Drosophila melanogaster: one gene and its partner. The gene in region 1 interacts genetically with each later gene. Each region holds a gene or a part of one and is shown in the gene's direction. Other genes may lie near its edges. The genes, in order: RIOK2 and Erk7.

What was found.
Region 2: of RIOK2 (region 1) and Erk7, changing one suppresses a phenotype caused by changing the other (phenotypic suppression), as found in Drosophila melanogaster (one study listed by BioGRID).

What each region holds. Positions count from the first base shown.
Region 1 is NT_033777.3:25,264,258-25,277,783, forward strand, and holds RIOK2 (RIO kinase 2), read left to right. Parts: upstream 1-1,586; 5' UTR 1,587-1,649; coding exon 1,650-1,857; intron 1,858-1,913; coding exon 1,914-2,292; intron 2,293-2,344; coding exon 2,345-2,536; intron 2,537-2,555; exon of another isoform or gene 2,556-2,591; coding exon 2,592-3,429; 3' UTR 3,430-3,500; downstream 3,501-13,526. Other genes in the region: GlnRS (Glutaminyl-tRNA synthetase), read right to left, coding at 1-1,417; CG11889 (uncharacterized protein), read left to right, coding at 5,974-7,030, 7,089-7,285; CG11878 (uncharacterized protein), read left to right, coding at 9,591-10,656, 10,713-10,909; CG10513 (uncharacterized protein), read right to left, coding at 11,604-11,803, 11,869-12,937.
Region 2 is NC_004354.4:9,258,563-9,275,808, reverse strand, and holds Erk7 (extracellularly regulated kinase 7), read left to right. Parts: upstream 1-8,110; 5' UTR 8,111-8,629; intron 8,630-8,697; 5' UTR 8,698-8,890; intron 8,891-10,343; 5' UTR 10,344-10,540; coding exon 10,541-10,627; intron 10,628-10,725; coding exon 10,726-10,916; intron 10,917-10,979; coding exon 10,980-11,186; intron 11,187-11,266; coding exon 11,267-11,407; intron 11,408-11,480; coding exon 11,481-11,577; intron 11,578-11,646; coding exon 11,647-12,098; intron 12,099-12,233; coding exon of another isoform or gene 12,234-12,414; exon of another isoform or gene 12,415-12,526; intron 12,527-12,796; coding exon 12,797-14,372; 3' UTR 14,373-14,433; downstream 14,434-17,246. Other genes in the region: aladin, read right to left, coding at 542-882, 1,119-1,495, 1,553-1,837, 1,898-2,295; Cfp1 (CXXC finger protein 1), read left to right, coding at 2,920-3,143, 3,206-3,893, 3,955-5,034; CG17440 (uncharacterized protein), read left to right, coding at 6,015-6,038, 6,099-6,232, 6,295-6,838, 6,905-7,303. UniProt on the Drosophila melanogaster protein: Atypical MAPK protein that regulates protein secretion in a kinase activity-dependent manner. In response to starvation regulates protein secretion by mediating transitional endoplasmic reticulum site disassembly.

The sequences.
Region 1 (13,526 bases):
GCCAGTAGTAGGAGGATCGTCTCGACTGGAACTCCTTGGTGCACAGTGAGTGGGTTATATCCTCGAGAGAGTCACAAAGGCAATGAGTATAATCATACGTGGGGTAAATGCACCAGTCAGAGCCCGTACGGTGGTGTGAGATAAACTTAATGCGATACGCCACCGGGTCCATCTTGCCCTCCTCCAGGGTGACCTTCATGCGCAGTGTGGCCGCTCCCTCGTCGATCTTTCCACGCTTCATGTCTTCAAACAGCCGAAGTGACTCCTCAATGGGACGCTCCCTCCAAGGGCTGGGCTTCGGATTGAAGCCTTTCAGTTCCTCCGCCTTCTGGTGACACACGTAGGCCAATCCTTTGTTAATCAGCACAACAGCCCACTCGTACAGCTGCTGGAAGTTGTCCGAGGAGTAGGTGATCTTGAATGGTTTGTAGCCCAGCCATTCCACCATCTCCTTGATGGCCAAAAAGAACTTCTCCTCCTCCTTCTCGGGATTGGTGTCGTCGTAGCGCAAGTAACAGACTCCATCGTGGGCAGCCGCGTATCCAAAGTTAATGTTAATAGCCTTTGCGTGACCGATGTGCAGGATGCCATTCGGCTCTGGCGGAAATCGTGTGTGCACTTTGCCTCCAGTTCTCGCCAGGTGCTCCTTTAGTAGCCGCTCCGTGTGCTCGGTGACCACGTAGCCATCTGCCTTGAAGTTCTCTCCGGGAGCATGGAAGTGTACCTTGGTTTTCATGAGTTCCGAAATGGTGGTGGCTCCATCGGATGCAGCTTCAGCCGTTTGAGCGGCAGGAGTTACTTCAGCTTTCGGTTTTGCAGCCTTCGGCTTATCGTTTGCTTTTGTCTGAGGTTTCAAGTCTGCTTCTGTTTTGGGACCCAACAGATCGAAGATCTCCACATCGATGGCCGCCTTCACGGACTTGGCATCCGCCCACTTGAGTTCTCCCCGGACATCTTGCAGGATTTTAAAAGAGTTAAAATGGTAGCGTTGCTCCAACAAGGCCTCCTTGTAGCTGGCCTTGATCTTGGCCTGCACAGTGCGCTCGATCTGCTCCGGAGTGACCACCACTCCAACGCCGCACTCCTTCTCAAGCGCCTGCAGATCTATGTTGGCATTCAGGCTCTGACCGCACTTGAGCAGGTACTCCAGGGCGGCATCAACGCGCTGAGTGTTGTCCAGCTTGTGCTCCACTATGTAGCGCACCAGAAGAGGCAGATGGTCCGCAGTCTGCGGCTTCAGCTTGGTAGCCATGTGGTAGATCAGCATACCAGTGCCGTCGGATAGGGTGGCGCTTCCCGCCGCCGCCAGCGACAGCTGGAGATTCTTTGTCACGTTGGCATTCTTCAAAGTTTCCTTCGCCTTTTGCTCGCTCATGCCGAGCGCCTGGAATTTCGCAATCAGATCATCTCCAGCCATTTCCCCGATTTTGTCTCTTCCTGATGACGATGTGCAGGTCAGTGTGACCGTTCCGGACCGGGATGTAAAACACCAGTTGCATTACAATGTTCGGTAGTTGGAAAATGATATAATTATAAGCGATACTCTTGCTACAATCGATGCATACCGATTTCTCACCACCTATCGTGCCTGCACGTGTGAAACGAAAACATTGCTAAATGCGTTGTTAAACTGTCAAAATAGAACGAAAATGGGTAAATTAAACGTGACAGTGCTGCGATATCTCACCAAAGAGGACTTCCGCGTCCTCACCGCCATCGAGATGGGCATGAAGAACCACGAGCTGGTCCCTGGTCCCCTGGCTGCTGCCATTGCGAATCTGAAGTCGGGTGGAGTCCACAAGCTGCTCAAGGAGCTGTGCAAGCACAAGCTATTGGCCTACGAACGGGGAAAGAAATGTATGTATGGCTGCAGATTGAAGTTTTTATGGTCATTAACAATTATTGGCTCACAGATGATGGCTACCGCTTGACAAACACGGGCTACGACTATCTGGCTCTGAAGTCTCTCACACTGCGGGGATCGGTCAGTTCCTTTGGCAACCAGATTGGAATTGGCAAGGAGTCCAACATCTACGTGGTGGCTGATGAGGAGGGCACTCCAATTTGCCTCAAACTACACCGATTGGGTCGAACTTGTTTCAGGAATGTAAAAGCCAAAAGAGACTACCACGGTCGCCGACACAAGGCCTCCTGGTTGTACTTATCTCGCATCTCGGCTACCCGCGAGTTTGCCTACATGTCGGCACTCTATGATCGTGGGTTTCCAGTGCCAAAACCCATCGATTTCAACCGCCACTGCGTCTTAATGGACCTCGTCAAGGGCTGGCCCATGTAAGCTAGTCACTTTTATCATTATTCGTATTTTTGAATATCATTTTTATAGGACCCAAGTTCACGAACTTCTAGACGCTCCACAAGTTTACGATGATCTTATGAACCTTATTGTGCGTCTGGGAAATTCTGGAGTTATTCATGGCGATTTTAATGAGTTTAATTTAATGGTGACAGACGCCGGCAAGCCCATACTGATTGATTTCCCTCAGATGATGTCCACCTCGCATGAAAATGCAGAATTGTAAGCTTTCTTTGTGATTATAGTATTCAAGTATTAATAGAAAAATATATTTTAGTTTCTTCGAACGCGATGTTAACTGCGTGCGTGAAATGTTCCGTCGCAAATTTGGTTACGAAAGCGAAGACTACCCCAAGTTCAGCGACCTGGTGCGTGAGGATGATTTGGATGCCGAGGTACATTGCACAGGCTATGGCTTCACTAAGGAGATGGAGCAGGATCTTCTTGAGGAGTACGGCATGGTGGATCAGGCAGATGAGGAGGATGAGGGAGAGGATTTGGAAGAGGAGGAAGAGCCTCCCACCTTGGTTACCGCAGCATCTGTAGAGATTGACGAGTGCCGACGCCAGGTGGAGAACGAAGTCATTTATAGCGAAGCCAAGCCCACTCAGAAGTCGGATGACGCAGTGCGTCGGTACATTGAATCGTGTACGCAATATCTGGGTAATCTCAGCGTAGGTCCAGAAGTTCCCGATCAAACAATGCCCAAAAAGTTGGACATTTCCCTGCCGGCTGAAACTCCAGACGTTATTCCATTCGAAGCTGAAACTTCGGCAACTAATACCGTTGAAGAAGACGTCAAGTCCATCAGTTCCAATGATTTAGATACGGATGAAGTTCCCGAGCTAGTTGGCCTGGATCCTAACTCCCGCATGTATCGTCTCAAAATGGTCGAGCAAATGCTAAATGATGCGAGAAGTCAACGCTCCTATTCTACCACAACCAGCACAATAGCTCCGTCTGTGATTACCGACCGGATACGACGCAACATGGACATTAAGGAGAAGCGGGAGCAGCGAAAGAAGTGTGTGGCCAAGGGAGAGGCTAGTGCTGTGCATCGTCATCGCAAGGAGAACAAGGATGTGGTTAAGGAGTATGCTGGCTGGGACTTCTAGATCATGTTAATCTATTAAATAAAAATAGTGATATGTATATTTAAAATTAAAACATTTCATCAAGACATCGCAAATTGTGTTTTAACTACTCTAGGTAATAAATAAATAATAATAATAAATAATAATAAAGGCATTTTCATGAGTCGCCAAAATGATTTAATAAGATGATAGCTTTTATAATAATGGGTTATGGTTATGAAAATATATAAAAGTAATTGAGAAACGGAAAATATATTAAAATTGACTATAACATACTTTATGTTATTAATTTTCTATCTAGGGTATTTAACTTAGTCGGAGCGAGATGAGCTTCAGGCTATATGGCGATTTTGTGATTCTCAATCACGGAGATCTGTGCAAAGGGACATCCCATTAATGCTGCCTTCATCGATTTCCAGTTTAGCGTGTGGAACTCACCAGCCCTCGATCTTCACTTCACTTCTTCTCCACTTCCATCCATGACAAGCTCCGCCTAAACAATCAACCAGAGCTGGTCCAGTTCTACTTCTACAAACTGAGGGATGCACTAAAAAAAGAGAAGTATATATATTTAAGATCTGATACAAATCTACTCTGATTTACAGCTGTGTTCGCTTCTCTAATTTTTGAACCCTTTATGGTGTATGATGGAAAAGAAAAGGTTTCCCTGGACCACATCATTTCGGAGAGCAAAGGTGGTATGAGATTCAAAGACGATGTGTTCCAGCAGGAGTCCGTCAGGCTAAAGCTTCAGCAAACACTTCCGTATCTTGATCAGTGGGGATTGCTGGATGACATGTAAATTTGTACAAACGATTACGTTACATAAGTAAGAAGAATGCTAACACTCTGAATAAAATGTACTTTACGATTTTATTGGGGGCCCCTAACCAGAGGGATTAGCGTAGTTAGTCGTAATTAAGATGATAAGACTTTGGGAAATATCGCAAACTGTCTTCACTGCTTAAACTATAGCGCTAACGTTCGGATCCATAATGTCAGAAAAAAATACCCATACCGATCCTGAATGGCTCACAAAGGAATATGTGGAGTATAAGTTATGCAGATATTTTGAAGACGACTCTCTACAGTTGAAGAAACTAGAGACTGAGCCGGCTACATCAAAAGGAGATAATTACGCCAGTGTGATGACCCGCATCAATCTGGAGTACAGCACAAAGGATTCAAAGGACACTCAGAGCGCTACTTTCCTACTGAAAACCACCTTTGCCGCCAAGGATCCGGCAGCCAATATACTGGCCGGCTACGGGGTTTCCATCAGAGAAATGGACATGTACCAACAACAACCAACCTGGCCAGAATGGTGAGGGGCGAGCTCGAGGATTCCCGAAAGATGTTTGCAGCTACCGTCAATGTAGATCGCGAGCGGGACTCAATCCTTTTTGAGGACCTGTCGTTGGAGGACTACAAAGTCGCTTGCCGGCTTAAAAAACTGGATTTGGAGCACACACATCTGGTCCTGGAGAAACTGGCTGATTTCCATGCAGCTGCAGCAGTTCTTGCCGAGCGAAAGCCTGGAATCTTTGAGAAGAACTACGATCGAGGATTCTTTAACAAACATTTTCGAGGCTTTCAGCCAATCTTTAGGAACCTACTACAGGCTCTATCTCGCTCCCTGGAGCTGAATTTGTATTTAAACGATCGTTATCAGAGCAAGATAGACCGGCTAGTGGATACAATAATGGATTACGGCGATCGATCGACATTGACCAATCCAGGAGATTTCCTAACCCTAGCCCACGGGGATCTTTAGACAACAAATGTGATGTTTCAGTACGACGAACAGGGTCATCCCATCAATGCCGTCCTAATTGATTTTCAGTTCAGTGTGTGGAACTCTCCGGCCATCGATTTGCACTACTTCTTCTCCACTTCGATCCAGGACCATCTTCGCTGGAAACATCAGCCTGAATTGGTCCAGTTTTATTACTACAGGCTGGTGGAATCTCTGAAGAAACTACAGTATTCGCGTCGTATTCCGAGCTTATTTGAATTTCAACTGCAGTTTAGGGCTAGATCTTTCTATGGTAAGTATATGCAAGTTATAGTGAAAATAAATTTTAATTTAAGAAATTCTTTTAGCTGTTTTCTGCTCACTGATTTCCGAGCCCTGCATGCTTTACACCGGAACTGAGGAAGCGTCTATTGCACAAGGATTGTCCACTGCCGCCAGTGGAGTCCGGTTCAGAGATTCTGTGTATCATGCTGACCACATCCGAGAAAAAATGCTACTCACTCTGCCGTTTCTGGATCAGCAGGGGTTGTTAGACGATATGTGAAGTTTTATTTTTTTTACTTATAAGTTGGTCTAGCTAGTTAGCCTAGCTGAACAACAGTCGCTATTCTATGATCTTTCACACAGTGCAGAGCCCTATCCTAATAAATTTTTTCAGATGTGCTGTCGCCTATCTTTTCAATTGCCGGCAATTAAGGAGCTTACGACTCATGAGATACGCTCTGTGCCGTCTCATCTAATCATGAGCATCTCGTCAGTGTATAAAAGCCATGCCCACCTCTGACGAAAGCTAGTAGAATTTCAACATTATGCCGGAGAAAACGACCCACAATGCGCCCGCGTGGCTGACAGAGGAGTACGTGGAGAAAAAGTTAAGAGTCTACTTTAAGAATGACACCTTGAATCTGAAGAAACTGACGATCAAGCCGGCGACAGCGAATGGAGAGAACTACGCCAGCGTGATGACCCGCATCAGTGTGGAGTACATTACGAAGGATTCAAAGGATAACCAGTCCGCAACCTTTCTGCTGAAGACGACCTTCGCCGACAAAGACCCGGCGGCCCATTTGCTCATCAACTACGGCATTTACACCAGGGAGATCGACATGTACGAGCAGATACTGCCCCGATTGGCGGATATAGTGAAGAATGAGCTCCACGATTCTCGGAAGCTGTTTGCAGCTACTGTGGGTGTAGATCGTGAGCGGGACTCGATTATGTTCGAGGACCTTTCGCTGGAGAGGTATAAGGTTGCGTGCAGGGTGAAGAAACTGGATCTGGAGCACACTTATCTGGTTCTTGAGAAACTGGCAGATTTCCATGCAGCGGGGGCAGCTCTGGCTCAGCGGCAACCGGGAATCTTTGAAAAGAACTACGACCGTGGATTCTTTAACAAACATGTACGAGGCTACGAGCCCATCATGAAAAATATCCTTAAGGCCTTGTCGCGTACCCTCGATTTGAGTCCGGATCTAAAGGAGCGATACCAGGCGAAGATTGACAGGTTAATTGATAATGTAATGGACTACGGCGAAAGATCGACATCTGTCGCTCCCGGCGATTTTGTGACTCTGGCCCATGGAGATATTTGGACAACCAATGTCATGTTCCAGTACGATGACGAAGGTCATCCAGTTAATGCCATCTTCATTGATTTCCAGTTCAGCGTTTGGAATTCTCCGGCCATCGATCTGCAATACTTTTTCTCAACCTCGATCCACGAAAACCTTCGTCTGGAGCGTCAGACCGAGCTGGTCCAGTTCTACTTCTATAAACTAGTGGTGGCTCTAGAAAGGGTGAAATATTCGGGTAAGGTTCCGAGTTTATTTGAGTTCCAACAGCAGTTTCGGACCAAAGGTTTTTATGGTAAGTTTGCGAAGTATATAAAATGTTATACAATTTTTAATTTCTTTATTTTACTCAGCTGTGTTTGCGTCGTTGATTTTTGAGCCCACTATGGTCTACAATGGCAAGGAGGAGCCGTCCATAGAGCAGTTCATGACCAGCGATGAGAAGGGCGTGCGACTGAGGGATGCAGTGTATCAGACGGAGGAGAACCTAAAAAAGTTGCACCTGACTCTGCCGTTCCTTGATCAACTGGGCTTACTAGACGAAATGTAAGAAAATGCTCCACACAATAAATAAATGCTCCTTATCAGTATAAGTCAATTAATCAAATTATCACTGCTATCTACCTAGAAATTTAGCTTAAAAATAGTTTCGTTATTTTTAGCAATTAATTGTTTAGAAATTTCTAGTAGTTCGCTGGCATCAAATGGATATGTATGTAATAAGCTCAATGACGATTTCTAATAGCTAATTCAAATGGTTGAATTGAAAGATAACAGGAATGTCAGATAGAATGATAGATAAGACTTGAATAATAAATGTGTACTTACCTAACCGACGAGGTATAAAAGCGGAACCCCACCGATGAAAAATCCGCAGTGTTGATCACCAGGAAATCAATAGAAGCGCACAAGTGGTGCCCGCTTGGCTCACTCGCGACTATGTGGAGCAGAAGCTGCGTTCCTACTTTAGAAATGACTCCCTCCGCCTGGTGAACCTGGACATCAAGCTGGCCCTTGGCAACGGGGAGAACTACTCAAGCGTGATAACTCGCATCTATGTGGAGTATACGACGGATAAATCAAAGGATAAACAATCCACCAGATTCCACCAGATTTGCCGACGCAGGTCCGGCGGCGCAGGTTCTCCTGAGCTACGGAGTGTACAACAGGGAATTGGATCTGTATGAGCGCATCCTGCCCCAGATGGCGGAAGTGGTGCGAAATGAGCTGGCAGATTCCCGGAAACTATTTGCAGGCACTGTTTATGTTGATCGGAAACGGGACTCGATCATCTTCGAGGATATGTCCCTGGAGAATTACAGAGTGGCCGATCGGCTCAAGAAACTGGATCTGGAGCACACTCATCTGGTACTCGAGAAGCTGGCCAATTTCCATGCTGCCGGAGCAGCCTTGGCTGAGCGCCAGCCTGGAATCTTTGCGAAGAATTTCGATCGTGGATTCTTTAACCAGCATACCCGCGGCTACGAGCCCATCATGAAGAATCTTTTGATGGCTTTGTCCCGATCCCTGGAGCTGGAGCCGGATCTGTGTCAGCGTTACCAGGCAAAGATCGATCGACTGGTGGAGAACGTAATGGAGTACGGAGAACGATCGACGACCATTGTTCCCGGTGACTTTTTGACCCTGGCTCACGGGGATCTCTGGACCACCAATATTATGTTCCAATACGACGACAAAGGACATCCCATAAATGCCATCTTTATCGACTTTCAGTTCAGTGCTTGGAACTCGCCGGCCATCGATCTACACTACTTCTTTTCAACGGCCTTGCAGGCTGATATTCGACTGAAGAAACAGCCAGAGCTGGTCCAGTTCTACTATTACAAACTGAATGCTGCCTTGAAGAAAGTCCAGTATTCCGGAAATGTTCCGAGCCTATTCGTCTTCCATCAGCAGTTCAGGAACAGATCCTTCTATGGTGGGTATACTAACGTGCCTGGTTAAGGAATTTATATTCATTTATGTTATCATTCAGCTGCCTTCGCATCACTGATCTTTGAACCAACGATGACGTACACGGGCAAGGAAGAGGCATCAATGGATCAGATAATATCCCTTTCGGAGAAGGGAATGCGCTTTAAGGATGACGCATTTCAGGCGGAGGAGACCAGGAAAAAGATGCGTCTCACTTTGCCCTTTCTTGATCATTTGGGTTTACTAGACGTGATGTAAAGCGAAAATAGTAATATTATTATCGTAATTATAGATTTTATATTTGCTTATAAAATATAATAAATACAAAATAATTTCGATTACTTTCCCTGCTATTACTAACTTTTATTAATTGTGTATGCACTTATGAATGACAATTCACAGGTGCTAATTGTAGGTAAATGTTTAGAAAACATGAAAACGGGACAAAATCCGTATTAAAAAGTTTTCTAATTGTTTTTGTTGATATTGACATTAAAATTAGCTACAGACGACGATACGGGGGAATTCTTGGAAAAACTATCAAGGCAACCCACTAAATTAATTCACTTACTTTTTACGATATTCGATAACAAACAATAAAAAATATTAAGTTGTATTTCTCTTCTTTGGGAAATGTAAAACAAAATGAATTAATTATAAATTTGTTGCGATGAATCTGTATATGGTGATAAGTTGCGAAATTTTGGTTACCAGGAATACTTAATAAAAAGTGCATTGCAAAAAACGTGAGCGTTCGACCAGACTCGAAATTGTTCAAGTGTTGTTTGTCCATGACGAAGCCAGTTGCCACGAGATACTTGCACTAAACTTATCATATATACACTAAAGTTGGCTATAAAAGTGGTCGGACTCCGTTCGCAATGTCGCAGAAGCGAAAGCCCTGAGTTACGGATAGGATCATGACTGAGAAATCTACCCACAAAGTTCACCCAGCGCCAGTTTGGCTCACCTCGGAATATGTGCAGGATAAGTTGCGCACCTACTTCAAGGATAGCTCACTGAAGCTGGCGACGTTGGATACAAAGCCAGCCGTGGCCAATGGAGGAAACTACGGCAGCGTGATGACCCGCATCAATGTGGAGTACACGACCAAGGTATCGAAAGGGAAACAGTCCACCACATTTCTGGTTAAGACCACATTCGCTGACCGGGATCCAGCCGGCGATGTGCTCATCCACTATGGTGTCTACACCCGTGAAATGGATATATACGAGCACATCCTTCCCCAGCTGGCGGATATGGTGAGGAAGGAGCTTAAAGACTCCAGGAAGCTCTTTGCGGCCACCATGAATGTGGACCGCGAAAGGGACTCGATCATCTTCGAGGACATGTCACTGGATCATTACAAGGTTGCATGCCGTCGAAAGAAGCTGGACCTAGAACACACCCACCTGGTACTGGAGAAACTGGCCCTCTTTCATGCAGCTTCATCAGTTCTCGCCGAGCGACAGCCGGGTATCTTCGACAAGAACTATGATCGTGGCTTTTTCAACAAACACACCCGGGCATACGCCCCGATCATGACCAATCTTCTGGAGGCTCTGTCCCGCTCCCTTGCTTCGGATGAGGAGTTGGGACAGCGGTACAAGGCCAAGATCGACAGGCTTGTGGAACGTTTGATGGACTATGGCGAAAGATCGACGACTAGTAGTCCTGGCGACTTTTTAACTCTGGCCCATGGAGATCTTTGGACCACCAACTTTATGTTCCAGTACGATGCAAAAGAGCATCCCACGAATGCCATCTTCATTGACTTCCAGTTCAGCGTGTGGAACTCGCCGGCCATCGATCTCCACTACTTCTTCTCCACCTCGTTGCAGGATAATCTTCGCTTGGAACATCAAACAGAATTGGTTCAGTTTTATTACTATAGGCTGACGGAGGCCCTAAGGAAGTTAAAATATGCTGGTCGGATACCCAGCTTGTTCGACTTCCAACTGCAGTTCCGCTCGAGAGGATTCTATGGTGGGTACAGTTCTTAACTCTCTTTCAAAATAGTTTTTTAAATAATTTATCCGCAGCCGTATTCTGTTCCTTGATTTTTGAGCCTGTCATGCAGTACGAGGGCAAAGAGGATGCTTCTATTGAGCAGGTCCTATCCAGTTCCGAGAGTGGAATGCGATTCAAGAACTCAGTTTATGAATCGGAAAATATAAAAAAGAAATTAAGTGTCACACTGCCTTTTCTGGATCAGTTTGGATTGCTGGATGACATGTAATGATAATCTTGAACTTGTGTAAATAGTTAAAATAAATAAAAGTTTAAGTACTACTACGTATTGGCTCAACTACGTCGTTGCTTTTAATTTCCTGGGAAAATACTTATCTAATAGCTTGATTGCACTTTATGTGTGTAATTCGGCAATAACTGACCTTTTTATATGAAATACAGTGTTCATGACTGATAATAGCGCTTTCGAGTTTATTTCGGCAAGATAGTGCTAAACTCTTGACAAACAAAAGGTGCAAGCAATACTAAAAATCTCAGAAGATAACAATTACAAGCCCTTGAATCGTGGTGAAATAGAAACAATCGCGATACGCCAAAAGATAAGCCGCAGATGTTTTAGCTAATAAAAGAAACTAATATTTACCTACAACAAATAAATACGAATACGAATGTATTTAACAAGTCAAGGTGTACTACTGAGGAAAAAACTTGTAAGTGAATTGTTGCGTCCCCCTTATAACTCATACGCACCGTTGGCCCGCTTATCGTTTGCTTTAAAACGTCACATTTAATATAGTTTTATGAATACAAACATTTACAATAGAACCATTGTGTGTTCTATTTCTAATCTTATTGCTTACCAACTTGCAATAAAAATGAACTGCTTTTCATATGGTTTTAACTTCAAAATAAAATTTGTTTTTATTTTTTATCAAATACTCGTAGTATATGATGGCTTCCATTCAGTCAATTACGTCTAGTAGACCACTCCGATCGAAGCGTGGCAGCTCGCGTTTGAGATTGTCCTGCAACCTCTTGTTGGTGTACAATACCTTCCGGAAGTTACGGCCTCGTTCGTCATCCTTCATCAAAGCATTAAAGTCGGCATCGGCGTTTTGGTCATTGGTCAATATGGCCTGGCAGACCAGAGCGACTGTGACAGCTGTTAGATACAATAATATAAACAATTATAATGGGTTTTTGAAAATCATTCCAGATGGGACTCACCAAAGAATCTGCCCCTTTCGAGCTGCAGGACGAACTGCCTCAATGTGGGAATGTAGCCACCAAAGTTGAGATCCTTAAGCGTTTCCACGAGCACCGTGTGATAATACTGAAACAGGGCATCCTGCTGTTCGTAGCGAATATCGACCTGCACCGAAGTGTTGAAGAAGTAGTGCAGATCCACCGCCGGCGAGGACCAACTGCAGAATTGGAAGTCGATGAGAGTCATGTCCAGTGGCTCCTTATTTTCGCCGTAGCGCAACATCACATTGTTCACCCAGTAGTCACCGTGCACCAATGTATTAAAATCTCCCGGTTGGGGATCGTAAACTCTTGTGGAGTACTCCATTACACGTTCCTGCAGCTTCTTCAATTTGGTAGCATACCGCTCACCCAATTCGGGACACTCCCTGGCAAAGTCAGCCGCCACGCCCACCGTATTCACAAAGAAGGGTGCAAAGGCCTGGGTGTGGCGATTGAAGATGCCGTGATCGAACTTGGTCAGCAATCCGGGTTGACGTTCGTTCAGAACAGCAGCGGCCGCATGCATCTTGGCCAGCTTTCGGAGTCCCAAGCGGGTGTGCTCCAGATCGAAACCAACCAGACGATCGGCCAGGACATATTTCGTCACCGCAAGGTCCTCAAAGATGATGGCCTCGTGCTCGTAGTCCACATGCAATGTCTTGGCGAAAACCTTTTCCGGCTGGCGAGTCTTCTCGATGAGCGAGCTCAATTGGGGCAGGATCTTCTCGTACATACGCATTTCCGTGGTGCTAACCTGGTACTGGGAAAATATTCCAGAGGCGAAGGCATCGTTCTCATAGGTGGTCTTCACAATATAGTATTCAGTCTCGGGGCTTTTGGCGCCACTTTTCAAGAACAAAATCCGCACGCGTGTCATCACACTAGCATAATTGTCACCCTTGGCAGTGGCGGGCTTGATCACCAAATCGGTGATCCTCAGTCCCGGATCATTCTTCAAATCCCGGAGCAGTCGCTCCAAGTAGGTTTCATCTAGCCACTCTGGCGCCGGATGAAATTCGGTAGCGTCTTCCTTGCCCTGCTCCACCATGATGATGCTCGACTTGTGTTCTGGATCACTTGGTCCAGTCGAAGGCCCCATTTATAGGCAGCCGGAAGACGCAATCTCGCCGACAACAGATCCCACATTATGGTAGCCGTAAAGCAAGCTGGCTCAGACAATTACGTAGCTGCTGCCCGTGGATTTCGATTCATACGACAGAGATTCGTGAGTATCTAAAGCTGACTAGATAGAAGCAGATCTCGGAGCGCGACACTTGACAGGGTGAGATAACACCCCCACATCTCGCAAATCGGTGCACGTTCCTATATATGATGTAAGTGTGCCCGCCGTAATTCATGCCGAATGGTGCTGACGTGGCGTCTAAAGATCGCTCTCGTGCTCGCGTCAAACTAATCTACTTCACAGCCCATAAATCCATCTGCCGTCCATCCATTTGCATAGTTGAGCCGGATAGTTAAGCTATTTACAGACTTACAATGGTTTCGTTTTTTATTTCCTAGTATTTAACGTTCTACGTATTTATAATAATCAGTCGGAAACTTTGAATTTCACAAGGATTTTCGAAACAGAATAGCCCAGAAGGAAAATAGTTAAACAAGTTTTCAAGTGCCAAGAT
Region 2 (17,246 bases), on another chromosome or scaffold:
CTGAGTCTATTCAAAATTACCTTGGCTTTTTGAGGTTCATAAAAATTAAAGAAAAAAATAACTACTATGATTCCACAGCAAAAATACGTTGTCAAAAATTGATTGTATTCCATTAAGGAAGTGGTATTTTATTAAAAATATTAATAAATCCTTATAAGCGTAATCAGATATTTTATTTGATTCTTTATATAAATTGCAAAACAATTGCTGGACCAATTTTAAGCAAAAATAATAAATTAGGAATTGTTCTCGAATTGATTCAATTACCTTAAAGGTGTAAAACGCTTTGTCCATTTCAATCAAATCTGTAAAAAAGAGATAAATGTGGGGGTGTGGCAATGGTACTGTTTGCTTGTAAAAGTCAATTACCTGCCACATTACAGATATACTTTCAAGTGCCACAGACTCACACCTTTGAATTTATCTCAATCCCCTACCATTGTTGGATTCCAAATTAAGGTTAACCTGTTTAACTGTGTATTAACGCTTACAAAAACCAAATCAAAAAATGTATTACTATGAAAATCACTAAGCTTTAAGATCAGTCGAAGGCGTAGTACTGGATGCGGCCCGACGACCAGGCGATCGTCAGCACGGAGCGATCGTTATCCTCGTAGAGTGGCTGGAAGCAGATGAAGCTCGGGTGCTCCGCCGCCGTCTCGCCGCTCAGATAGTAAGCCGCCGAAATCTGCAGATCGAACTTCTGTATGAAGGTGCGGAAGACGGCGATGCAGTTGGTCGCCTTGAATGTGACTACCAGATAATTGCCATGCGGATCCCAAGCAAGCTGCTGGGCGGGACCACCGACAAGCGTGCGATTCGCATCAATGCTACAAGCATTTAGATCTGCAATGGGCAGGATTTCCTTCTCATCCGCCGAAGCTGCAAGGAGATACAAAAACGGAATATGTTAAATATCAACTAGTACATTGGTACCGGTTTTTGTTTTTGTAGTCAGCATTATACAGGCGGTCTGTAAGCTGCAACAGCCGCCAACCTGTTACTGACTGCTTTGATCTGGGGCAGCCCCAAATCGCACCCTTGTATCTGACCACCGTTTCAGTTCAGACACTGGGAGCAGACTGCCCTGAATACGTACTCAAAGCTTTCGTACTTACAGGATAGCAGACTCTGTTGCACGAACTGCAGGCGGTAGAGAATCGGTTCGGCACTGCTGACGAAGAGCAGGAAGCGACCGCAGGGCGACCAACAGGCTGTTTGGACATAGCCTCCGGGACCGCACACCCATCGCTCGGTGGTCCATTGCTGGTGGCAGTTCCACACGCGGAACACCCGATCCACGGTGGCTGCGAACAGCCAGTCATTATCCGGCGACCACTTCAGCAGCGAGCCCGGCGGACCCAAACGCTTGAGTGGCTGCATCATTCCGGTGTCCGGCTGCCAGATAATAATGGAACGATCTCCTATTGAGGCGGTGGCCAACTGGGTGCCATCCTTGTTCCACTGCATCGAGGTTATTGGCAGATTGTTTGGGCTAAAAGGGAAAATAAGTTATGTATTTACCAACTAACGATAAATTTTCTATACTGACTATTTAAAAATCTCGCTGGGTGCATTTGTGCGTCCCAAATGCAAAGTGCTGTCCACTTCCCAGAAACACAGACCCTGCCGACAACCTATCACGATCTCGGAAGCGCAGAGTGGACGCCACGCCATGCAGGTGATCTGCGTTTGGGATGGACTCTTTAAAACAGTGGCAGTGGTCGCACTGGAACTCTTTGTGTAGATGCGCACCACATCGTCTACACCGGCTACGGCTAAGCAAAAGAAGTGCTGATTCCAGGCAAGATAGCGCACATCGCTGTTGAGCCAATCCCTGAATGAATGGGACAGTAAGGTTTAGGTATTATTGGTCAGTTGGCTGCGCCCCACCCACCTGGTCTCCACGAACTGAGCAATACGCTCTGCACTAAGCTGCTGGGTGTGCGGGAGGATCCTCAGGCCGGTGGCCAGGCCCAGAAATTGTGCGATTAAATCACCCGCCTGGGCAATAAGCGGCGCCTGCTCCCTGGTCTCTGGGCTGCGTGCCTCCTCCAGCGTCTTCCAGAATCCGCCATTAAAGAAGCTGCGAGCTATGCGCTTTAGGACACCCTCATTCACAGATACGAAGCTCTGTCCGCCGTAGTACCGCTGACCAGCCGGATTGGCCAGAAGTTCGCTGTTCAGGTTTATCTGCGGATAGCGTTCCAGCTCTGGGATGTGATTGTGCCGCAGCGCCAGATCCGGCAGCGTGGAGAACGGCGGACACTGTTTTAGGTTGCTCAGGGCCGCCATAATTGCAGACTATTCACATTCAATTCAGTTCAGTTGAGAAAAAATGGTAACGAAATACAAAGAAAAAACCGCGCGGTTATTAGAGGTGAGAAAAAGCCGACAATGTCAGTGGTAATTCGATGCTTAATTTTTCTATCGATGTTTAATTTTACGAAACTTCGAAAATACTGGGCCGCGGCAAAATCTTAAAGATTATCGAAAAATAAAAATTAGGTATATATAAAGTAACAATCTTTTGTAGGTTTTATATTCACGTTGTTTCTCTTTCAAGAACTCTATTTAATCTCATAGATCTCGAACACACTATCGTTTGTTATTAAGACTATGGAATTAGTTCTCTCGATATAAGTGTTACGAAGCATTTTATATTTATACACAGCTTACAATAAATACCTAAAATTGTTTTTATTGTATAGTCATACATCAATTAAAATCTACAACGTAGTTTTATGCTAAATATTATATATTTTATTAGGCCAGAACCTATCGATTGTCTGCAATACATTATTAGTAGGCTATCGATATCCTTTCATTCACCATCTCCATCGCAAAAAAAAATTCCATGAAACTTAATTGACGGATTTGGATTTGGACTGGATTTGTTGTCGGAAAGATTGCTGCGAGATGACGGACAAGCGCAAATATAAGAAGACCGTAAGTTTCACCCGCTGCACGGCAATCATATTTTTAACTACAAAGGAGGTTTCCAAACAGAAAGAGGAAATCAGGCGGGAGATCGCACGGGAATTTGATTTGCCTGAGCGCAAGTCCAAGATAGCCACCATTCTAAAGCAGGAAGACCAAGCGTACTGCATATGCCGCTCCTCCGACTGCTCCAGGTTCATGATGTGAGTTGAATGGCCTTAAAGGGCTAGATCCCGGCTAACTACTTGTACCCTTCGCTTTCCAGAGGCTGCGATGGTTGCGAGGAGTGGTACCACGGCGACTGTATAGGGATCACCGAGAAGGAGGCTAAACACATCAAACAGTACTACTGCCGGCGCTGCAAAAAGGAGAATCCCGAACTACAAACCATATTCCGCCTGGTGGCCACCGAACGGGCAGCCGCATCGAACGCCGCCTCTACAAGTCTCAATGCCCCGGGCGTAGGTCCATCGGGAGCTGCGCCTGCTGCTGCACCGGTGGCGTCCGCAACAACCAGCCAGCAAGCGCCGCCACCGACCACTGCGGCAGCGAAGCGCAAAAACAGCAGCGCCCGAGAACCAAAGATGGGCAAACGTTGTGGTACCTGTGAGGGATGCCGGCGTCCCAATTGCAACCAGTGCGACGCGTGCCGCGTTCGCGTGGGCCACAAGCCGCGCTGCATATTCCGCACCTGCGTTGTCCAGGCGGCGACGGTCTTAAAGGAGTCGCAGGCAACTCAAGCCGGCCCAAGTAGGAAGCGGGAAAAGGCGGCACCCAAGAGTCGCAATGTCCAAGTGGGCCCGCGGGCGGCCAGTCCGGAGATATTCCTCAATCCGGAGCTACAAGGCATCCGGCAGTGCTACGGACCCAATTGCTGCTCCCATGCGAGACCGCAGAGCAAGTACTGCAGCGATAAGTGTGGCTTCAATCTGGCCACAAAACGCATCTTCCAGGTTAGTTTCATTTTTTGGCCAGACTATGACAATTAAACACCAAAGTCCTTTACACTCTCAGGTTCTGCCGCAACGACTGCAAGAGTGGAATCTAACGCCCAGCCGCGCCGCCGAGGAAACACGCAAGCATCTTGATAACATTCGTCATAAGCAGTCCCTGGTGCGTTTCGCACTTGCCGAGCTAGAGAAGCGCTCCGAAGAGCTCAACATGGTGGTGGAGCGAGCCAAACGAAGCTCCATTGATACATTGGGGTCACAAGACACCGCCGACATGGAGGACGAACAGAGCATGTACTGCATCACCTGTGGCCACGAGATTCACTCGCGCACTGCCATCAAGCATATGGAGAAGTGCTTCAACAAATACGAATCGCAGGCCAGCTTCGGGAGCATATTCAAAACGCGAATGGAGGGAAACAATATGTTTTGTGATTTCTACAATCCGGCAAGTAAGACTTACTGTAAGCGATTGAGAGTATTGTGTCCGGAGCACAGCAAGGATCCGAAGGTGAACGATACGGATGTGTGTGGTTCGCCCTTAGTGAACAACGTCTTCAATCCCACGGGCGAGTTTTGTCGTGCGCCAAAGAAGAATTGCTTCAAGCACTACGCCTGGGAGAAGATCCGGCGTGCTGAGATAGATCTGGAGCGTGTGCGTCAATGGCTCAAGATGGACGACCTGATGGAGCAGGAGCGCGTGATGCGGCAGCAGCTCACCTCGCGAGCGAACCTGCTCGGCCTGATGCTGCACTCCACCTACAACCACGAGGTGATGGACGAGCTGGTGCGCAAACAGCAGGAGCATCTGGTAGAGTTCGAGAAGCAGAGGCGACGCCTGGCTCACCAGCAACAAATACAAACACAGCAGAAACAGTACCAGGAAAAGCAGAAGCTAATGTTGCAGCAACAACAGCAACAGCAACAACAGCAGCAGCAACAACAACAGCAGCAACAACAGCAGCAGCTGCAACAACCACAGCAGCAGCAACAACAGCAGCAGCAACAACAGCAGGAGCAACAGCAACTGCAATTGAAGCCACATCATCTGCAGCAACTTCAACTTCAACTGTTGCAGCAGCAGCAAAAGAAGGCCCAAATACCACAGAAAACTCAAATTATATACCTGCAGAAAAAAACATAGATTTGTAGTCCCCTAATCATAGCAAGAACTAACAATAAACTGACGTCCAAGAAATATTTTTCTACGACAGTAATCTTTGGACTTACCCGACGCAAAGTTTCTAGTGTCGCCTTTCTCCTGGCAACCGCATAACACGCTCGCCAGCTGTTGGGTCCGCTTCCCGGCCAGTAGTAGGTTGCTACGCGCCGGGATCGGCGGTACGCCCATGTTTGTTATTGAAAACTAAGCATCAAATATGCATTTATTGATAGCAACATGCTATTAATACATTAGGCCAGCTCAACCGTGGATATCATTCACATGGATTACATTAGCACACACCTTAATATTAGTTTATTAGCTGGATTCAAGTTATTTATAATTTCTATATACGATTTGTTTTCTGTTCATTGTTAGTTTGTATTTAGAAATAATCTAGAAAATAAGTTAGCATATTAAATACATTTTCTTAAGCTGTAGGCTTTTTTTAATAATGCAGGTTAATATTACTGCATTAAACAAAGTCATGAAAAAAAGAATACTCTACGCTCAACATATTTTGAAGATCATATAGACATAGGCCACCGAGTCCGGGTTTTGATATCCGAAACAATGGTTCCGGGTAAATGAAGAGCGGGGGGCAACCATTGGAAACGGCAGGACCTTGAAAACGATGGAGGCTATGGATTAGAGTGGGCATGCTGTAGTTGGGAGCCAAAAGGAATGTCAGGACGCACAAGTGCAGTGGAAATTTCAAGCGAGTCTGAACGAATCCGGCTACCCGGGCAATCAAGTAGTCGTGGCGATTTGTGACTGTTCCCCCAGACGAACTGTCAAAAATGCCAGTCGTTGTCCGGAACTTTTCTACATCACACACGACCTGCTGATTCAAAGCCAGGAATACAGTTCATTTACAATCTCCATCGCAAAAAGAAAAATTCCCTGAAACTTAATTGACGGATTTGGAATTGGACTTTAGTTGTCAGAAAGATTGGTGCGAGATGACGGACAATGATAAGAAGACCGTGAGTTTCACACGCTGCACAGCAATCATATTTTTAGCTACAAAGGAGATTTCCAAACAGGAAGAAGAAATCAGGCGGGAGATCGCACGGGAATTTGATTTGCCTGAGCGCAAGTCCAAGATAGCCACCATTCTTAAGCAGAAAGACCGTGAGTACTGCATATGCCGCTCCTCCGACTGCTCCAGGTTCATGATGTGAGTTGAATGGCCTTAAAGGGCTAGATCCCGCCTAACCACTTGTCAACTACGCTTTCCAGAGGCTGCGATGGTTGCGAGGAGTGGTACCACGGCGACTGTATAGAGATCACCGAGAAGGACGCTGAGCACATCAAAAATTACTACTGCCGGCGCTGCAAAAAAGAGAATCCCGAACTGCAGACTATATTCCGCCTGGTGGCCACCGAACGTGCAGCCGCATCGAACGCCGCCTCTACAAGTCTCAATGCCCCGGGCGTAGGTCCATCGGGAGCTGCGCCTGCTGCTGCACCGGTGGCGCCCGCAACAACCAGCCAGCAAGCGCCGCCACCGACCACTGCGGCAGCGAAGCGCAAAAACAGCAGCGCCCAAGAACCAAAGGAGTCGCAGCCGACTCAAGCAGGTACGAAGCGGGATAAGGCGGCACCCAAGACTTCCAATGTCCAGGTGAGCCCGCGGGCGGTCAGTCCGGAGATATTCCTCAATCCGGAGCTACAGGGCATCCAGCAGTGCCACGGACCCAATTGCTGCTCCCATGCGAGGCCGCAGAGCAAGTACTGCAGCGATGAGTGTGGCTCTAATCTAGCCATCGAACGCCTATTTCAGGTTAGTTTCATTTTTTGGCCAGACTATAAGACTCCAATTAAACACCAAAGTCCTTTACACTCTCAGATTCTGCCGCAACAAATGCAAGAGTGGAATATTACGCCTAGCCGCGCCGCCGAGGAAACACGCAAGCATCTAGAGCTCAACATGGACGAGCTGGTGCTCAAACAGCAGGAGCAACTGGAGGAGTTCGAGAAGCAGAGGCAACAGATACAGACTCAGCAGAAACAGTACCAAGAGAAGCAAAAGCTAATGTTGCAGCAACAACCGCAGCAGCAGCAACAACAGCAGGAGTTACAACAACAGCAGGAGTTGCAACAACAGCAGGAGCAGGAGCAACAACAGTTGCTGCAGCAACTGCACTTGAAGCCACATCATGTTCAGCAACTGCAACTGCAAATGCAGCTGTTGCAGCAGCAGCGACAGCTGTTGCAGCAACAACAGCATAAACCGGAAAATCCATAGATTTGTAATCCCCTAATCATAGCAAGAAATAACAATAAACTGATGTCCAAGAAATATTTTTCTACGACAATCCAGTAATCTTTGGACTTACCCGACGCAAAGTTTCTAGTGGCGCCTTTCTCCTGGCAACCGCATAACACGCTCGCCAGCTGTTGTGTCCGCTTCCCGGCCAGAAGTAGGTTGCTACGCGCCGGGATCGGCGGTACGCCCATGTTTGTTATTGAAAACTAAGCATCAAATATGCATTTATTGATAGCAACCTGCACGTAAAGGGGTTGGATACATTGGGTTAGCTCTACCGTGGATATCATTCACATGGATTACATCAGCACACACCTTAGTTTTATTAGGTTATTAGCTTGATTCAAGTTATTTATAATTTCTATATACGATTTGTTTTCTGTTCATTGTTAGGTTTCATTGTTGGCTTTTTTTTTAACTAAAGGTAAAGATAAAGTAATACATTCAGATAGGTTAATATTAATGCATTAAACAAAGTCATGAAAAAAGGAATACTCTACGCTCAACATATTTTGAAGATCATATAGGAATAGGCCACCGAGTCCGGGTGTAAATATCCAAAACAATGGTTCCGGGTAAATGAAGAGCGGGGGGCAACCATTGGAAACGGCAGGACTTTGAAAACGATGGAAAACTATGGAGTAGAGTGGGCATGCTGTAGTTGGGTGCAAGACACCAAAAGGGATGTCAGGACACACAGGTCACACAAGTGAAGTCGAAATTTCAAGCGAGTCTGAACGAATCCGGCTACCCGGGCAATCAAGTAGTCGAGGCGATTTGTGACTGTTGCCCCAGACGAACTGTCGACAATGCCAGTTGTTGTCCGGAACTTTTCTACATCACACACGACCTTCTGATTCCAAGCCAGGAACGTACACTCGTTTTTTCTATTCGATTCCGAATCTTTTATTTTGTAAAATCGTAACGGAAGCGTGAACGCCGGAGTGCCGGGAGATACCAGGCCAACATCCGCCGCCATATGGACTCGTCCTCCTCCGATACGCATCTACATTCGTTGATCTAATATATGCTTGTAATTCCATTTCCAAAACTGTGCAAATTGAAACGCGCGTGGTCTGCGAGTGAAACATACAAATTGTCAAGTCGAGGCCGCTGATCCTAAGCTAAATCGGCTAGATTTAATCCACAAGGGCCGAAAAAATTCAAGAAGTACTTCATGAGTTGGCAGTGGGAAGCCCTCAACGGACGAAGTAATATAGATATTGTGTTCGGTGGAGCACAACACCGGAACGGTATCAAGTAAAGATTTTTTTTCTTGTTCAAGGTCCTGGACTGTACCTACAGGTTGGTGTATCCAAACGATATATATACATATATATATATCTATATAATTAATATGAAACATCCTACAGTTCCGGTTGCATCTTTTGATTCGCGTTGCGTTCGTTACTATATCGTTCTTTTTTTTCTATTTTTATTGTGCAAATTGCCAGTTTACTTTCAAGGCACACATACTCACATAACCATCCGTCAAGTTGCCGGGCCTCTTCGTCTCCTAGTTAGCCACCATTCTACATATCCTGCGAATCCTGCCTCCTTTTACTGGTAAGTGACGTGCTCCACTTGAAAACTTTTGTGCCAAATTCAATCGCTCCGATTTGGCTGTTGCTTTTGATGCTACACTGCTACACTGGCAGACATAAAGTAGATTTTAACCTTACACCTTTCACTGTCTATTTGATTTATTAATATATTATAAATTTACTAGATCAAATTATGTGCGCTTGCGCCCACTTATGCGCCAGGGTTGCATTTCAAACGGAGTCCATTCCCTACTTTCCAGCACAAAACTGGAATTCCTTGGAATAACGGCTTAATTCGAGATCAGATTCTTGCGAATTTCAATTTCGAACTCGATTTTTGTTGAACTGTGCTGGCCTTTGCCATATGAGTGTACTTGTGCCTATTTATTTGTTAAACAAATTCATTTGCCATGCTTTGTTGCTGATTTTCGTTCAGCGAGATTGCATGCCACGTATTTCCATTTGATTGTTTTGCGGCGTTTCTTGCAGCAACAATAGCTGAAGTAGGCGCAATAAAAGTATTACAGTAGGCATCCCAAAGAGTAGATGTTCGGGAAGATTTAGTGTTAAGGTTTTTAATAATAGTAATAACTACTTTATAGTTAATAATCTGTACCTATTGAAGAATATTACGTATATACATACATACATATTTAGTACCCCATCTTAAAGAACACTTATAAATCGCGTTATAAATGAGAGTTGAAGCATCCAAGAGCTTTACGCATTGTTCTCTGCAGCGAGTGCTCACTGTGCAGCCGAGCATTGTTACATGACGTTGCCGTGGGCACTTGAGGGTCCACTGTAGGCATTGCCAGGCCATCCAATTGGGGGTCTCGTTTTCGCTTTCGCCTTCTGCCCGCGATCGATCTAACAATAATTCGGTTTCAATCAGGTCCGCCTCGCGATTTATTTATTCGCTTGCTATTTTTTCCCGCTTTTTATTTGTGCTCCCGTTATGGCCGTTGTTCCGTTTCCGGTGCACTTGCATGCAGAGAGAGAAAAAGCCATTATCCCTTTTATTCCAATCCAATGATCGAAATATCTTTGTTAGTATAGGAGTATATACAGACATACATATGTATATACTTTGGCTAATGATGAGCTTTAATCAAAAAGTAATACAGAAATGTTTCAAATATTTTGAATATCTTAAAGACTGGATCTCTTGAATAATTAAAATGTACTATGCTGTGTGAATTTAATTCATTAACTTTATCTCATACATTTCGATTTTATTCTTTCACTGTGCACTTTTGCACTGCTTTTTGTTGGCGTTTCATTTTATTTGACATACTTGATGCCGTTTGCATATGGGAGCAAGCACGCGAGGACGAGGGCCCCTGATGCTCCAGTTGGAGCCGCAAAACCACTCGGGCGCCACTGCCACTGCCACATCCACGCGCAACAGCAACAGCGCCACAGTGAATGCCAGCTAACTGATAAATTTCGCACTCCACTCTGATCGTCCATAGCGAAGCTGCCACGTGGGGCTGGAGTTCTCGGGGCTCTGCCAGAGTCGCAACCGGGCCAACTAGAAACCAACTGCCGGATAAGTCCCAGCATCCCAATAAGCAAAAGAGGTCACAAGGTTAAGGGGCACGGATAGGGATAGGAATAGGGATAGGGATAAGGATAAGCAAAGGGCACAGGTGAAAAGGAGCAAGCTACGATGGCCAACTATCAAACTGCCCACGCTCAAGAGCGACGCATTCAAGAGCTGGACCAAACTGTGGAAAGCATTTTCGATGTGCGAAAGGTAAGTCAAAAAGTTCGTTCGGAGAACGGAAAATTATACTAAATTGAAGTCAAGTGATCATAGGTCGAAACGATTAATAACTTCTTTGTCTTTCGCAGCGCATGGGTAAGGGTGCCTATGGCATCGTCTGGAAGGCCACTGACAGGCGTACAAAGAACACGGTGGCCCTGAAGAAGGTCTTTGATGCCTTCCGCGACGAAACCGATGCCCAGCGCACCTACCGTGAAGTTATATTCCTGCGGGCCTTTCGCTGCCATCCCAACATCGTTCGGCTGGTGGATATCTTTAAGTAAGTTCTTTCGATATTTTTTTGTTTTCTAAAATGCGTGTATATAATGTGCATTCTCTTCAGGGCCTCCAACAACTTGGACTTTTATTTGGTGTTCGAGTTCATGGAGAGCGATCTGCACAATGTGATCAAGCGGGGCAATGTCCTCAAGGACGTTCACAAGCGATTCGTTATGTATCAGCTGATCAATGCGATTAAGTTTATTCACTCGGGCAACGTCATCCATAGGGACCTGAAACCCAGCAACATCCTGATCGACAGCAAATGCAGGTAATATTCCACTGACAATTCAGTAATTCAGTAACATCAGTGGACTCCATTTCCATCTATGGACATTGCCCTATTTGCAGGCTCAAAGTGGCTGATTTTGGGCTGGCCAGAACCCTCTCCTCGAGACGCATCTATGATGATTTGGAACAGGACGGCATGCTGACTGATTATGTTGCCACGCGTTGGTATCGCGCCCCCGAAATTCTGGTGGCCAGTCGCAAGTGGGTGCTTTGTTTAGCTTGCATGAACTTACTGAGACACTAGCATATCCCTTTGCCTTTTACCTTTTACCAGCTACACCAAGGGAATCGATATGTGGGGCCTGGGCTGCATCCTGGGCGAGATGATCAGGCAGAAGCCCCTATTCCAAGGCACTAGCACTGTCAATCAGGTAGCAGAGTATCTATATACCATTTCATAGTTATAGGTTTAAATTTACATACATATATATTTGCTTCAGATTGAGAAGATTGTGACTTCCCTGCCGAATGTGACAAAGCTGGACATCGCTTCGATTGGACCCAGCTTCGGCAGCGTCCTGCTGAGCAGGAATATCCAACGCGATCGCCGCTATTCGCTGGACGAAATGATGAAGAACTGCTGCGACGACGGTATTTCGCTGGTGAAGGCCCTGCTGGTGCTGAATCCGCATAACCGGCTGACAGCCAAGGAGGCCATAAGGCATCCTTATGTGAGTCGCTTCCAGTACGCGTCGGCGGAGATGGATCTTCACATGGACGTCGTGCCGCCGCTGAAAGATCATGTGCGCTACGACGTGGACCAGTATCGCAACAGTCTGTATGAACTGATTGACCGGGAGACGAGTTGCAGTAACCGCACGGTCAGCAATTCCACGCCATCCAGCAATCGGGACGAGTTGCCAAAACCCGTGCGAGTCACGAAGCAAGCCAGGTGAGCTGCTCTCGGGGATCTTTGGGGGCTTGGGCTGGGACGGTTGTTGGGGGGAAGCGGTAGAGGGCTGGTTTAGTCGTTTGTGGGGCGATGGCTAGTGGAGGAGCTATTCTAGCTGCTCGTCCCCTCTTTCAGATTGCATCGAGCCATCACCAAAGTCACCAGCACATCCAATCACCTACAGCAGGAGACATTCAAGGAGCGGAAGGAATCCGTGGAATCCATAACAGTTCAGCGCCCAGTGAAGGAGCGACTGCATCGTTCCATGCACCGAAAGGCACATCGCATGCGCCTCAAAAAGGGCCATAGTCAATAGAATACTAAGCTTAATAGTTATCATCCTCTAAAAATTCTTCATGTCCAAGGACCTCTTTCTTTGTGAACCACATTTATGTGCATCTCAGTCAGTTTTCATCATTTCAAACCACAAATTTTATTTTATCACAATAGTTTAAATTGAAAATACAATAAACTAGCAGTAAATATGTCTTAAGAAACATATAATATTAATATTATTGTTATTAGGTTAACAACATATTCCTGTCTGTGTGGTATGAGGATGTGAATATTCAATATTCTAAGTGTGTCTTTAGTTAAGTGTAATATTAGTAACATGAGAGCAGCCCCACTTAACCCAGCCCAACCACACATATTTTGGCGAATCACCAGTGTTCAACTCATCCAATTCCCTCCCGCAGGACAACAAGTGCCAAGCAACCGACCACGAGCCCGGCGGAAAGGAAGAAGGAGCCATCTTCCGTCGAGGTGACCCAGTCGCGCAAGAACATTAAGCTGCTGGGCTCTGCACATAAGGCACAGTCGAAGGAGATCAACCACATGGAGTCTGCAATTACGCAAGTCTCTATTGCTTCTGCTCCTCCTGCTGCAGCTCCTCCTGCTCCTGCTGCTACTGCTCCTGCTGTACCGCGGAAATCTGGTGATAAATCTGTCCCCAAATGCCAACACAACAATGCGGCGGTCCAACGGGAATTGGCTGCCGTGGCGGCCGCGGCAGCCGTGGCTCGCCGGAAGAAAAGCAGCTGGCAATCGCAGGCACAGTCTCAAGGTAAATTCCATACCGAAGCGAAGGCCCATGTTCAAACTGCGATTCAGACCCAGAAGGACAACATCAAAGATAGCCCTCCGAGGATGATACAAGAGTCCCAGAGCCTGACGGAAGCTAAAGCGCCTATTCCAAAGAATCGCTACTCAAACAAGATGTGCCAAGAGAAGAAATATAAAAAGAAACACCATAGCATGTCCTGCATCACAAGGGATACGTTTCCCTCAGAAACGGAGCATCGCCAGCAGAGGGAGGAAAGGGCGTACCAGCGACAGATGAAACGGGAGCTCCAGCTGAAGGAGAGCTACCGCCGCCGCATTGAGGCGGAGAGCGAACCCTTGAAGGAGACAACTGAACAGGAGTCCAAGACGATCAAGGTGATAGAACAAAAGGTGTGTGAGCATACTGAAAAGAAGGCGGATGAATCGTTGTCCAAGGATCAGCAGAAGGATTCGATCACCTTTGGCACATGCGTCCGCGAACGGATCCATCACCTGGAGCTAGAGATGGAGAAGTGCACGGAGGAGTTGGTGGACTTTGTCGAGTTGAATGCGGATGTGCTTAACTATGCGAACGTTAGCACCCACTTGAAAAAGCTGCAGCGGTCAAAGGAGAGTGATGAGAAGGATGAGGATGACAGAAGAGCCCTGCCGGAGGGCATTGGTGGTCCCGGATCCCAAAACTACGAGATCTTTCGCCAGGAGCAAGAAAAGGAGCGCCAGCGCCAGGTGCAAGAGTTCTTGGCCCGCGACGAGACCAATGAGTACGATAATCTCGACCTGGACCACGCCTACAGAGCTAAGTACTATACAGCATATAAGGAAATAGGGAAAGAACTCAACCCCGCACCGGACAGTGGGGGACGCGATTCCGGATCGGAGCATTCCCCGGGGCGGGACAACTACACCACGTATGCCGACTACTTTCTCAAATACACCACCCCACAGCAGAATTGGAATGATCTTGAGCGAGCGAATGGACTCCAGCGGGAGCACGACCGCATATACGGGTTGTTTTGGCTGAATGATCGCAGGCAGGAGGAAAAATATCGCCGCAAGTTGGCACAGAATGACCAAGAAGAACTCCCAGTTCACCACCACAAGGCGTGCCGCCATCGCCACCACAAACCCAACCACCATGCTCCCTACGATCACATGAGGCCCACGGAGGACGACATTCAGGAGGCGGACTCCTTGCCGGAGAGCAACTGATATGTCCTAGAATATTTGTCCCAATCTTGACACAATATACATACATATATTTTGAAACGCGAATGCAATGAGTGAAGATTCTTTTTGTCGTAGATCTTTTCTATCTATTTTATATTGTAACTTCTATTGGGTTTATAAAGACGGAACGTTTTTTCGTACAAAAACCCGCAGTGATCCATATTTTTGTGCCAGATTGCCTTGAGTATAAGGAACCGGCACTGATGATTGCGCAGCTCCTGACCAACCTCAGGTCGTTGACTAACGTCCCGCAGCGGCGGCAGAATCTCCTGGCGTAGATAGTGACGCATAACTCGATCGCTGCGCGCACATTTCACCAGCACGGTCAGCACTGGGGAAAGCAACTCATGCGAGCTAGCCTCGGCCTCCTGTTGGGCCAGAGATTGCCTTAGGTAGCGGAGTAGCACGTCCAGACTCCGAACATTGCGCTTTTCGAAGCACTGCGAGCAGCACTCACGGGGTTTGGCTCCCGCTCCAGCTTCTGTATCTTTTTCCTTCTCGTTGTCCAGCTCTCTTTCCTTGTGCGACTCCAACTCGGCATTGGAGCAACGCAGGGTGAGTTCTGTCAGGCAGCTGCCGGAGATGTTTGTCAGCAGATTGATGGCGTGTGTGACGACGGCGCGATCCTTTTCTGTGGCCAAGTCGCCGAAACGCAGGAGCAGCTCGCAGATGATGTTCAGCTGCTCCTCGCTAACGGAGTCTTCGCCCAGCTTGTCGTCCAGCTACTTGGTCATGTAGGTGAGGCCATTTAGATCGATTTGGAGGCGGTATCTCAGTCAGTATTCTTCATTTCGAACCACAAATTTCATTTAATCACAATAGTTTTAAAAATTCCTGTCTGTGTGGTATGAGAATGTGAATATTCAAAATTCTAAGTGTGCCTTTAGTTAAGTGTAATATTAGTTCCATGACAGCAGACCCACTAAACCCAGCCCAACCATACATATTAACATAATTCACATAACTGCCTGCCGAATCACAAATTTTCAACTCATCCAAATCCCACCACATTGCAATGAGTGCCAAACAATCGACCACGAGCCCGGCGGAATGGAAGAAGGAGCCATCTTCCGTCGAGGTGACCCAGTCGCGCAAGAACATTAAGCTGCTGGGCTCTGCACATAAGGCACAGTCGAAGGAGATCAACCACATGGAGTCTGCAGTTAAGAAAGCCTCTATTGCTTCTGCTCCTCCAGCTGCAGCTCCTCCTGCTGCTGCTGCTACTGCTCCTGCTGCACAGCGAAAATCTGTGCACATATGCCAACACAAAAATGCGGCGATCCAACGGGAATTGGCTGCCGTGGCGGCCGCGGCAGCCGCGGCTCGCCAGAAGAAAAGCAAAGTGCAATCGCAGGCACAGTCTCAACGTAAATTCCATACCGAAGCGAAGGCCCATGTTCAAACTGCGATTCAGACCCAGAAGGACAACATCAAAGATAGCCCTTCAAGGATGATACAATGGGACTCTTGTATGATTCCAAAGAATCGCTACTCAAACAAGACGTGCCAAGAGAAGAAACCCAAAGAGAGACACCATAGCATGTTCTACTTCACAAGGGATAGGTTTCCCTCAGAAGCGGAGCATCGCCAGCAGATGGAGATTTTGCAGAGGGAGGAAAGGCGGCAGATTAACCGGGAGCTCAAGCTAAAGGAGAACCAGTGCCGCCGCATTGAGGCGGAGAGCGAACCCTTGAAGATAGAAGAAAAGGTGTGTGGGCATACTGAAAAGAAGGCGGATGAATCGTTGTCGAAGGATCAGCAGAATGACTCGATAAAGCTGATCGGATCGGAGCCGGTGCATTCCCCGGGGCGGGACAACGACAGCAAGTATGCCGACTACTTTCTCAAATACACCCCCCCGAAGCAGAAGGAAAAAGATCTGGAGCGAGCGAATGAACTCCAGCGGCACGACCGCATATACGAGCTGTTTTGGTTGGATGAGCGCAGGGAGGAGGAAAAGTATCGCCGAAAATTGGAACAGAATGACCAAGAAGAAATCCCAAATGACTGCCACAAGGCGTGCCGCCATCGCCACCACAAACCCAGCTACATTGCTCGCTTCGATCACATGAGGCCCATGGAGGGCGACATTCAAGAGGCGGACTCCTCGCCGGAGAGGAGTCGATCCTTATAACTCTGATTCAATATTAATAATTAAAATTTAGTTTCAAAGCATTATGAATCGGAAAATATGTGGCTTGATTATTATAGCATGACCTTGATTGATTTATTTTATTGTTAAGCTTAGGATAGCCGTACATTTAGACTCGCACAAAAAATATTACTATGTTTTGATGTATATAAGTTGATCTACTAGTATCATCGCTATAGCAAATTGAACACAATAAAGCTCTAGATAGGATTTCTTGTATATAGATCAAAGACACGTAACTTTTAGAAAGTTTTGGAATTATTCCTTTACCCTATTATGCGGAATTTACAACATAGATTAGACATGGACATGAACAATGTGCGGATGGGATAGTTGGTTGCATGGCCGTGTCGACATCCACAACTTGATGGCTCTTCAAGTGCTCCTCACTGCCGTCTGTCATAGATAGACTTTGTAGTTCGTTTAGTTCGATTCTAGAGCTATAGTTAGTGTTACACACATGCAACATCATTTGTAATAGAAAACTGAGAATCGGAATAAGAGCTTTCATTCCTAGATCCTAAGTGTATAATTGGAATTTTATAAATATAATACATACATGCACTTAACTATTAAAATGAAAAGTCGTCCTAGTTGTCCTATAGTGTGGGCGTGTATTTAAATGAATTCAGATTTGATGTTCATCTGCTCCCTACTTCCTGAAATTGGAAGACCCCAACGATTGTTTTGCATTTAGTTATTTT